Drosophila melanogaster: one gene and its partner. The protein of the gene in region 2 interacts with the protein of the main gene of each other region in a pairwise test. Each region holds a gene or a part of one and is shown on either strand. Other genes may lie near its edges.

Region 1 (3,837 bases), on a different chromosome or scaffold from region 2:
TTTATAACTAATTATGTATTCAAGTTATTACAACTCAATATATTTCAATGAACTAAAGATTTATACTCACTTGAACTCATCGCTGTCTGGCAGAATCTCGCCATTTCGCAACCAAACGTAGCTGTAGGGTTCATCGCATTCGATGGAGCAGCACAGATCGATCACCTCGCCCTCCAGCGATTTAGTAATCTCGGGCAGTCGTTCCGTGATGACAGCACGACGCCTGCGAATCTCCGTATTCGAGTCGTGGAAGGTGACGGTGGTGGAAGTGATGAGGGGATCGTGGTCGCCGCTTATGATGCAGGTGTACTGGCCTTCATCCTCGCGCGTCACATTGTCCACTATGAGCAGGGCCATCGAGTCCTGCAGCAGGATGTGAACTCGTTCCGAGGCCTCGAGCTCCACGTCGTTGTGATAGAATCTCACCGAGGGCACCGACGAACCCCGATAGCCACTTGCCAGAGCCATGCGTCCGCCAATTGCTGTGGGTGGCATGGTATCAATTGAAATAGTTAAGCTGTAAATTGGGCAAGGAGCAGCACCCACCTGTGGATGGACCCATGATGCGCCTGTACAAGTGGGCATTACGGCGGGAGGAGGAGGCACGCACGCTGCGCACCGAAGGCGACTTGGAGTAGCGGGAGCTGCGGATGACGTCCAAGCGAGCGGTGGCCTCAATACGACCGAAATCGTTCTCCAGCGTGACGCGATACAGGCCGGCATCGTCGAAGGTCACCTCATCGATCTCTATGATGCGAAGGTCATCGATTTCCTTGACGGCAATGCGCGGCGTGGGTGTCACAATCAGGCCATCCTTGTCCCATGTCGCCCACGGTGTGGGATGTCCGGAGATGGCGCACTGGAAGCGCACACTGTCGCCCTCCTCGACGACGCGATTGTAGGGAATGGCGAGAAACTTTGGCGCCGTGATGGCATTCCGGGCATCACTACGCCTGCGTTCCGCCACGCCGGACAGATCGATGCTGCTGGTGCGGTACGATAGGCGCAGGGGAGAGAAACTTCTGGCGGGCGTGGATCTCGGCGTAGAACGGGGCGTGGAGTGGGCGGAGAGCAGGCCACTGGGACGCGCTAGCTGGCGGCTGAGCATATTCTCCTTCTCCTCGGGCACATCCACTATAATGCAGGCGGAAGAGAGACTGCGACCCACCGAGTTCTTGGCCACGCACGTGTACTCGCCCTCATCCTCTGGATATACGCGCGGTATGCTCAGCGTTGCCTTGGTTCCATCGAAAGACATCACGTAGTCCCGATCGCTGGGCATAACATGCCCATCCTTTTCCCAGATGATGAACGGCTCCGGATCGGCCTCAACGTGACATTCCAGCGATATCGCATCCCCATCGCAACAGCGGAGGTTTCGCAAGTTGCGAACGAATCGGGGAAGGGTCTCGATGTTGCTGATTAATTGTTAAAGCTTGTTAATGACAACATATCTTGATAATAAGCTTGAACTTACCCATGTCTCGTGTGCACTTTATCCATGCGGCTTTTGTTGAGTATATCTATTGAAAAAAAGATATTATGCATTAGCACTTTGACTTAGTAAAAAAATATTGCATTTCGAAATTGGCGCCCATTAAACTGCTTGCCAAGCAGTGGTGATTAGTGTCTTGGCTATTTTTGTCAGATTCTTGCAAGAGTGCGAATATATCGATAATCGATAGCAGCTGTGGCCCAATGTTTATTTTTAGCACACCATCTAATTTTCTACTTCTTGTACTCAAATTTTGGTTAAAACAAAATGAGGGGCATGATAATTGTGCCCATGGACCTGGAACCCGGCTTCCGCAAAGCAGACATACACAATATACCCGCTTTGAACAGCGGAATGGTGTACAATTTTTGTCTATCCGGCGCATCTGAGAAATCAAAACAAATGTGAGTGCCATCCCGTTCGCACATATACCTACTGTGTATTCTATTAAAAATTGAATTTTTGCCAACAGACCAACGAATAGATGTGATCTCCTCACGGATTACGTCCAGGTGCGCAGACATGGCGACGTGTGCGAACTCAAGGGACTCGTGTTTTCTGCCACCGACTTCGCCAACACGGTAACTCACGCCAATGTATCGCTTAAGATCGTCGAAAGTGCTCAGATGATCATGGACGGTCAATGCAGCCTGTGCACTGCAGCATGTGAGAATGACTCCATTTGCCACTAATGTCTAGTTCCTAATCTTTAGTACATTACAGGTACTTGTGCCCACATCGTGGCCTTCACCTTCTGGCTGCTAAACAAGAGCACAGATCGAAATCCCTCGGCTGTGGTGGAGTTTTGGGGCCACGAGTTGGAAAATCTGGTGCAACCGGAGCCCACAACTGCTACTCGAATATGTGATATAATTCCCAAGGATGATGTGCGAATGGAAAGCGAACTAAACTCGAAAGAACTTAGCGCCAGCGAGGGAGAGGCTTTCCTAGTGACCATTCTGAATGAACTGGCCGACTGTGGCAGGGACTCGGCGCTCTACCGGCAATGTGTGGAGACCACCGATGAGTTCGAGCCCATGTTCGTACACCATGTGCTGCTCCGAGCAAATGAGTACAATGTCGTCGATCCGTCCAGCTATGTGCAACACATGGAGGCACAGGCACATACGGGTATTATCGAAAGTCTGTACGAGGCAACGCGAAGCAAATACAAATCCCGATTGTGGGTGGAGGTACAGTATATGCGCATCCGTTGCTCCATGATGCACATGATCATAAGCCGCAAAACCTCTGATGATGACGATCAAATCTTCAATATGATGTTTTGCAGAGGACGTGACAAGAATAACGAGGATCGGGTGCAGCAGAAGGAGCACAAGCGCTTCATATTGAAACAGACTGAGAAGCTGGAGAACAAGAACTACTTAGAATGCGGTCTGATCCTGCACGAGAACTTCCCCTTCCTGTGCGCCGCCCCTGATGGCATCACGGACGATCACATTGTCGAAATCAAATCACCAAAGACTGACGAGGACTTCGAGAAGTACCTCGAGGCACGCGAATCTATTGCACCCAAGTACATGGCCCAAATACAAATCCAGATGTTTGCGGCGAATGTTAAAAAGGCGCTCTACTGCGTGCTAAGTCCCACGTTCGAGAGCAACGGAGCACTACACTACGTTTGGGTACAAGCGGATCCGGAATTCGTTAGCAGTTTGCTGAGCATGGCTGAAGACTTCTGGCGGGACGTTGTCTTTCCCCGCCTATTGAATATCTACCCCCAGTGCCCAGGTCAATAAATACATACACATTCACTGTGCTGCTTACCTTTGGCGAATATTTGTAGCGATATTACAGCCTTGGCCTCGCCATGGCAATTGCTGGCTATCACGGAATAGGTGCCGGTGAAATCCAATTTGGCGCTGGGTATCTCCAGCCTGTACTCGGGTCCGTCTCCAATTCGCCGGAAGTGTGGCGCGTCCTTGTAGTACTCCGGCTGCGGGCGAAAGAAAATGTTCGGCGATCAGTGGGTCGAATTGCTCAAGGTCACGTCGCGATGTGCTTGGACTATAAGGACTTGTTGTGCGGCTGTCGCAGATCATGAATCACGACTGTCTTTATACAAATGTCGATGCCGTTGACGCTGACTCGACCGACGTTGTTATTATTGTGTTAAGCTTATGGCCATATAAGCACAAAATTCAGTTTCGAGACTGTCGAATAGGAAAACTGGTAATGGGTATACGTTGCCCACCCTGACCTCCTACTCCTCCTGCCTGCCTGCCTGCCTGCTCGCTCGCTTCCTTGGTCGACTTCGTGCGCGACAGTGGCTAATAATATTTTTTTGTGTATTTTTTTCCTTTTTGGCTCGCGTAATTGTT
Region 2 (6,154 bases):
TCCTCGAAACGGGCTGAGCCATCAGTCACCGAGGCGTTATTGTCCTCCTCGTCGGCCATTTCATCCGCGGCCAATGGCAGGCGAAGTTGCTCCACAAATCGTTCGTAGAGCAGCCGTATACTCTCGTCGCCAATGAACACAAAGTTGTTCTTGTTGTCGAAGAAGGCGAGGTAACGCAAACAGCGCCTTGTGTCACTGTAAATAATGAGAATTTCGGTTTGGGTGACTCATTAATTGGGGGGTTATCTTGTCGGGAATGTGCGTTGATTACTCACGTGAGGGAGTACTTGTGCACCATGCAACCGTACGGCTGCCACTCGTTGTCGCCCTTAAATCGGCCCTTGGACAGCAGCCACTGGCAGGAGTCACTGCCTGCGGGAGAACAAAACAAAACAAATCAATATCCATAATAAGCATACGATGGCAGCCAACATCCCAAATATGAACTTTACATGTCGTTTATATTAATCCAACCAACTGCAGAATTTGTACACTAATCTTAAAATTCGACATGATTATCTATATTTACATAAACGTTTGAGATTAAAAGTTTGTAAAAACCTTTTTTACTATTTAAAATGTACCGAATATGGTCAAACGTCAAACTGACTCATTAATAATATGAGAAGAATAAGTGAACATTGGTATACAATTGTGATCTTAAAATGGGTACGATTCCGTATCCACATCCATTATAAATTTCATAGTACTTAGATCTTTAAAGATCTTGTAACCTTGGACCCACCGTATTTCCAGTTGAGCAGGCCGTGATAGACGATGAAGCCGAGGACCAGAAGCAAAGCCACCTTCTTGGCATTGGTGGCGTTTAGTTGTTCCATAAATATATCCGCTCTGGTGGGCATACGCTGTCCTCCGGCGGCGCCTCCAATGCAGATGCCGCCTAGTTCGGGACTAGGGGCTCCATTCACTGACACTCCGGGGGTTCCGGTTGTAGCTGCTCCAATGCCTCCTACGCTTCCACCATTTCCACCGCGCAGTTCGCGTAGCTCCATAATTTATAAGCCGTCTGCCGCCTTCTCCACCGCCACCACCAAACGGTCTGCGACGGAAAGTCTGGCCTATAATATAGATAATTTGGCCTATTGCATGGGCATGTTTTAACCCAGTTCCGCTTGTTCCTTAGGCAGCGACCGACTCCTCCTATCGCTTGCTGTTTCGCTCTTGCTTGGCTTTTATTTTACTTTCCTTTAGCTTTTGCTTCGCCGGCCGATAGACAACCGCGTCTATCGACCGCCACCCACAACACAAAACTATCGACACCGAACAGCTGATTTGTCTGCATTGTGGGCGAACGGGAAAGATCGTTAATAATATCAATTATCAAATTTCGAAAAACACAATACTATACTTTATAGCAAATATACATTTATTTTTTTACCATTTAAGCATTAGCTTTTGCTTTGCCGGCCGTTAGGCAGCCGCGTCTATTGCCCTCCAACGCAATACAAGACTATCGATAACGAACAGATGATCTCTCAGCATTCCTGTCGAAAGGGAGGATCGTTAATAATATCAATTATTAATTATCGAATAAGGCACTACAATACTTAATTTATTTTTCAGCTAAAAATATTTACATATCATAGGAAAAAAATTAGAAATAAAGTTAAATAAATAGGAATAAATCTACATCAGAGAGTCCATAACAAAGCGAAATTTTTGTATTCGGGACATTTTCATTTTCAAAAAATATTCTTCGCACGCAAGATAAGTGGTACGCAACTATCGATTTTGGATAGTCATCTGACGAGAAGACGCACATAAAATTGAATTCGTTCGGAAAAGTTTTGACAAAACGCGAAGTTTCGGCAGCACTATGATAACTGCTAAGAAGCACCCGCTGGACAATTGCCAATTGTTTGTCCAGCTGAAGAAGTTATTTCATGACTACAACGAGAAGGTCCAGCGTCTGAAGGACATGATTTACTGGAGTGGTAAGTGAAGTACCAGAGGTTAGTGCCCAAATATGAACATTGTTTGTTCTCAGGAAACGATGAGCACATTGCGAAGATCTGCGACCAAGTGACGGACCTGCTGGTGGAGCACGATCTAATCATACAGCCGCCAGACACAATGGATCCTTGTGCTATGAATCACCTGCGTGGACTACTGGTGTACCTGGTGCTGAACACTGCACACGATGATATCCAGTGCGAATCGCAGTGGAGCGCCAATGTCATGCATTTGTGTAACCAGCTGCCGCCTATCCCACTGTTCTTGACCATCGCAATAGCCGTTAACTGCTGTCTCATGGAGCCGCTGGAGGAATTCCTTGCTTGTGGACCCCGCTGGCTGACCATCCAGTATTTTGAGGCATTCAATGAGGCTCTGTCGGTCATTAATTCAGATTGCGTGGAAACACTACCGCTGCTCTCTGCCGCCCTCAGAGCAGCCGGTCGCGCAATTGTCAACTGCAATTTGCCCGCAGAAAATAAGCAACTGCTGCGCCAGATAGCCTGCATGGAACATCGTCATATCTTGGACTCTAAACAGCGCCTCCATACGCTGCCGCGTCCATCCACTCGAAAGATTTACCTGGCCAAGGCTATGGATCACCTTATAGAAGTCCTTTTGTATACCCTCAATGATCCATTAAAGCGGGAGAAACCAAATTGCTTCGCCGTCTACAGCCAAATAACCGAGGACATCAGTGACAGCAACTCAAGCGATCCCATGCCTGATCTGCGGCATTTCGCCCAAATACTGCTAGACGTTCTGCAGCGTATCTTTCAGCTCGTTAGCGTAGACACGTATATGTATTGGCATGAAATGAAATCGAAAAGTGCTTTGTATAACTGCCAGGAGCTAATCTGTAGACAGACGGCAGAATTGCTTAAAGTACTCCAATCAGATAAGTTGCTCGGAGAGCATCCGGTTTGCAAGCAGATGCAGAGCTTTGCGGATGCAGCAAAAACATTGGAGCAGCGCGTTGCCGAGATGAGAATCGGTGAACTCTTGGCCTTTATCGATTCCGGTATGGCCACCAATGAGGAGTTGCTCGCCGGGCTGGACAATCTCTTTAGCCGCTTCATAGCCTTTGGCAGCGATGAGTGCCTGGAAACGATGGCAAATCATTTAATTATGCTCACCAAGAAACATGCCCAGATAATACTCAGTTTCCTGGGTCAGGTGGTGGAGTCCGAAATGGTGGTCGAGGACGAGGGCATATCCGTTACGGAAGTAAATCAGGGGGACGACGAGGACGAGACCTCGTCCAACGATGATTACGAAGAGCTGCTAAGCCTAGTACTGCGTCCCTTATTTATGCAATTAAATGTCGAGGACAAGATGGAAGTACTGCTATTACGCGATGAGCAAAACGTTACCCAAGGATTTAATTTCAAGGCTCCCGATCATCGGGAGCGTCGCATACGCTTCTTTAATCAATTGGATTATAATAAGCGCTTCCCGATAACCGAATTTTTAGTACTGTGCTTTGAGAACGCAAGACAGACCTGGATTGATTTCTCCCACTTGGGCGTGACGCATACTCGCTTCTCGAAGCTATTCTGGCACATAGCTCAGTCTTGTCCCAAGCATGCTGCTTTTCATATTTCCGCCTGTGCCGATAACATCTTGGTGAACGAGCAACTACTTCAAAAGCCGTATGCCTTGCAGTTTACACTCTACCTATATGGCCACCGACAGATCCTCAACGGTCTCTACACGTCAGCGCGACAACTGTGCGTTAGTTTGAAAGACGGACGGTGTCCCTACGGAGAGGATGAGCTTAGGCAGGCGCAAAATAGGTTCCTAGACGCGTGTGCCTACGGTTTGGCCAAGTTTATAGAGCCCATGAACTTGCCCAGCTTGCAGTTAATCTTGAAACTGCTCAAGCAGATTAGTCTGGGTGAAAGCAATCTAATCACCCGAGGCACTGCAGAGTTAAATGCACTCGAAAAGGAGCACCCGAAATTGGAGAACGGAGACGATGCACCAGCTGTCAAGGTGGCCAAGCACTACACATATCTGCATGCCAGTTTGCCAGAGTGGCGTTTGAAACACTGGAAGCTGATCTCGCATGTCATGAAAACCATTGATGCCCTACGCTGGGACTTGGCCACCTTTGAAGATTTCCGGGTGGATAATTTAGAACTGGCGGTGTGGTATTGGCAGGACGGTCTGTCTCATCTGACATTCCTAGGCACTGGTGCGCTCTTATAAATGTAAGTCCAAGACGAAAGCCTACTAATTATTGCTCTTTCACAGAATTCCGCCAGAGGATCTTAAACCAAGTGAGCAAATTGAAGCACAAGGACTTTTGGATCATCTACCTTAAAGAAGACACCTTAAAGGACACACGCTCCTTTCTCAAATTGCTAACTCAGTCCAGTGCACAGGAGGCTAACGATCTCTTCAACAAGCTCCTTAAAAAAAGGGCCGATTGTGCTGTTATGGGCGATCTTAGCGATGCAGTGGTCAAGGTGAACAGCGAGTCCGCTTTCATGGCCTTTAGATTCCTATTTCGAGAATATTTGATCGCCTTCCGGAGCCACGCCAAACACAATAAGACCATCACGAAGCGCCAGCATTGGGATCATTTGATGGCCGTTGTGGCCAAGGCTCCATTCTCCATTCGCAACGAGATTATGGAGCTAGCTAGTAAAGCCTTCGCTGTGCGATTCGGCATAAATATCCAGGAACAGCAGGCGGCCAAGTGTTAAGGAGATGCTGTTAGAAGTGTAATTTTCTTAAGCCAAATCGAAACACCGCCGCTAATCGACTAAAGACGTACATATATAATAATCATAACGCTAGGATGATGTTCAATCCAGATATCAGATTATTTTACAATTTTGTATGTCCTTTAAAAGGATGACTGTATGCACATAACATATGTACTACTGCCTTGCAAATTTTTTGTCTATTTAAAAAATACTTTGGCAAGCAAGTGAAGTTATTCAGATGAAAACTATTGCAATTTTGCATGTTCTTCATATTATTCGTATAATTATGTATTATATACATACATACATATATAAAATACAAAACGCTATGATCGAACATCAGAATAATATGTGTGAGGAGTCTACGTCCCCACAAATCTGGGTGCAGGGGAGCGGCCTTGGACGCCAGGAAAGCGGAGAGACTGTGAACTAACGGTACCGCGCTGGACCTTGGACTCGAGCCTGCCAAGGGCACGGAGGTCGAACAGTAACGGTGCGGACTTTGGACACGCACAAGAGGACACACATTGTGAACTAACGGCAAATTAGTTGGACGCGCAAAGGGGAAAATAACGGGATCCCCGCGGCCTATAAAGGAACGGCGCAAGTGCAGCTTGGGGCAGTCAGTCACAACACGCGAGGAGCCACACGTACGCGAGGATAGTCGAGGAGAGTACGGGCGCGAGTCGAGCCGTCAGGAGGCGGCCGCGCAATCGGAACGGCGTCTAAAGAAGAGAGACAGTGCGTTAGAACGCGCGGATACTACCATCAAGTTTTTTGTCTATTAAATAAATACTTTGGCAAGCTTGAAATTATTGTAATTTAGCATGTTCTTATTATTATTCGTATTCTTATGTACGAATTCCAAATCTATCTCTCGATTTCAAACTCAAGTGCCGCATGCGAATCGCATTATTTTAAATACTTTTGCTAAATAGGACCACTGTTTAAAAAACTGCAGTTGACTTTGGAGAAGTCGCAATATTTATAATGTCAATTATTAATTATCGAATAAAACATTACAATAATAATACAAATAATTAATTATCGAATAATACATTACAATACTTTATAAAATATCTTCATTTAATTTTCAGCTGAGCAAAATACAAAATATCATATGAAAATGTTTATAAATAAAGTTAAAGTTAAATCATAGCATGCAGTGGACAAGTCATATTAGTATCTATCTACATCAGAGAGTCTATTACAAAGCGAAATTTTTTGTTGTAGGGACATTTTCATTTTCAAAAAATATTCCTTGCACGCAAGATAATCGGTACGCACCGGTAAACTATCGATTTTCGATAGTCATCTGACAGAAGACGCACATAAAATTGAATTCCTTCGGAAGAGTTTTGACGAAACGCGAAATTTCGGCAGCACGATGATAACTGCTGAGAAGCACCCGCTGGACAATTGCCAGTTGTTTGTCCAGCTGAAGAAAATATTCCATGACAACAACG

Evidence for each region. The genes of interacting proteins can lie anywhere in the genome.
Region 1: the proteins of Glos (region 2) and CG8366 interact in a two-hybrid assay, tested with the Drosophila melanogaster proteins (one large-scale study listed by BioGRID).

Annotation. Positions count from the first base shown.
Region 1 is NT_033778.4:15,953,356-15,957,192, forward strand, and holds CG8366 (uncharacterized protein), read left to right. Parts: upstream 1-1,684; 5' UTR 1,685-1,762; coding exon 1,763-1,899; intron 1,900-1,967; coding exon 1,968-2,161; intron 2,162-2,218; coding exon 2,219-3,255; 3' UTR 3,256-3,281; downstream 3,282-3,837. Other genes in the region: Strn-Mlck (Stretchin-Mlck), read right to left, coding at 71-482, 547-1,418, 1,478-1,523, 3,284-3,452.
Region 2 is NC_004354.4:3,934,985-3,941,138, forward strand, and holds Glos (gaulos), read left to right. Parts: upstream 1-1,532; 5' UTR 1,533-1,837; coding exon 1,838-1,955; intron 1,956-2,008; coding exon 2,009-4,171; intron 4,172-4,230; coding exon 4,231-4,685; 3' UTR 4,686-5,598; downstream 5,599-6,154. Other genes in the region: CG2938 (uncharacterized protein), read right to left, coding at 1-195, 276-372, 746-1,013; Gem4b (gemin 4b), read left to right, coding at 6,076-6,154. UniProt on the Drosophila melanogaster protein: Component of the survival motor neuron (SMN) complex that catalyzes the assembly of small nuclear ribonucleoproteins (snRNPs), the building blocks of the spliceosome, and thereby plays an important role in the splicing of cellular pre-mRNAs.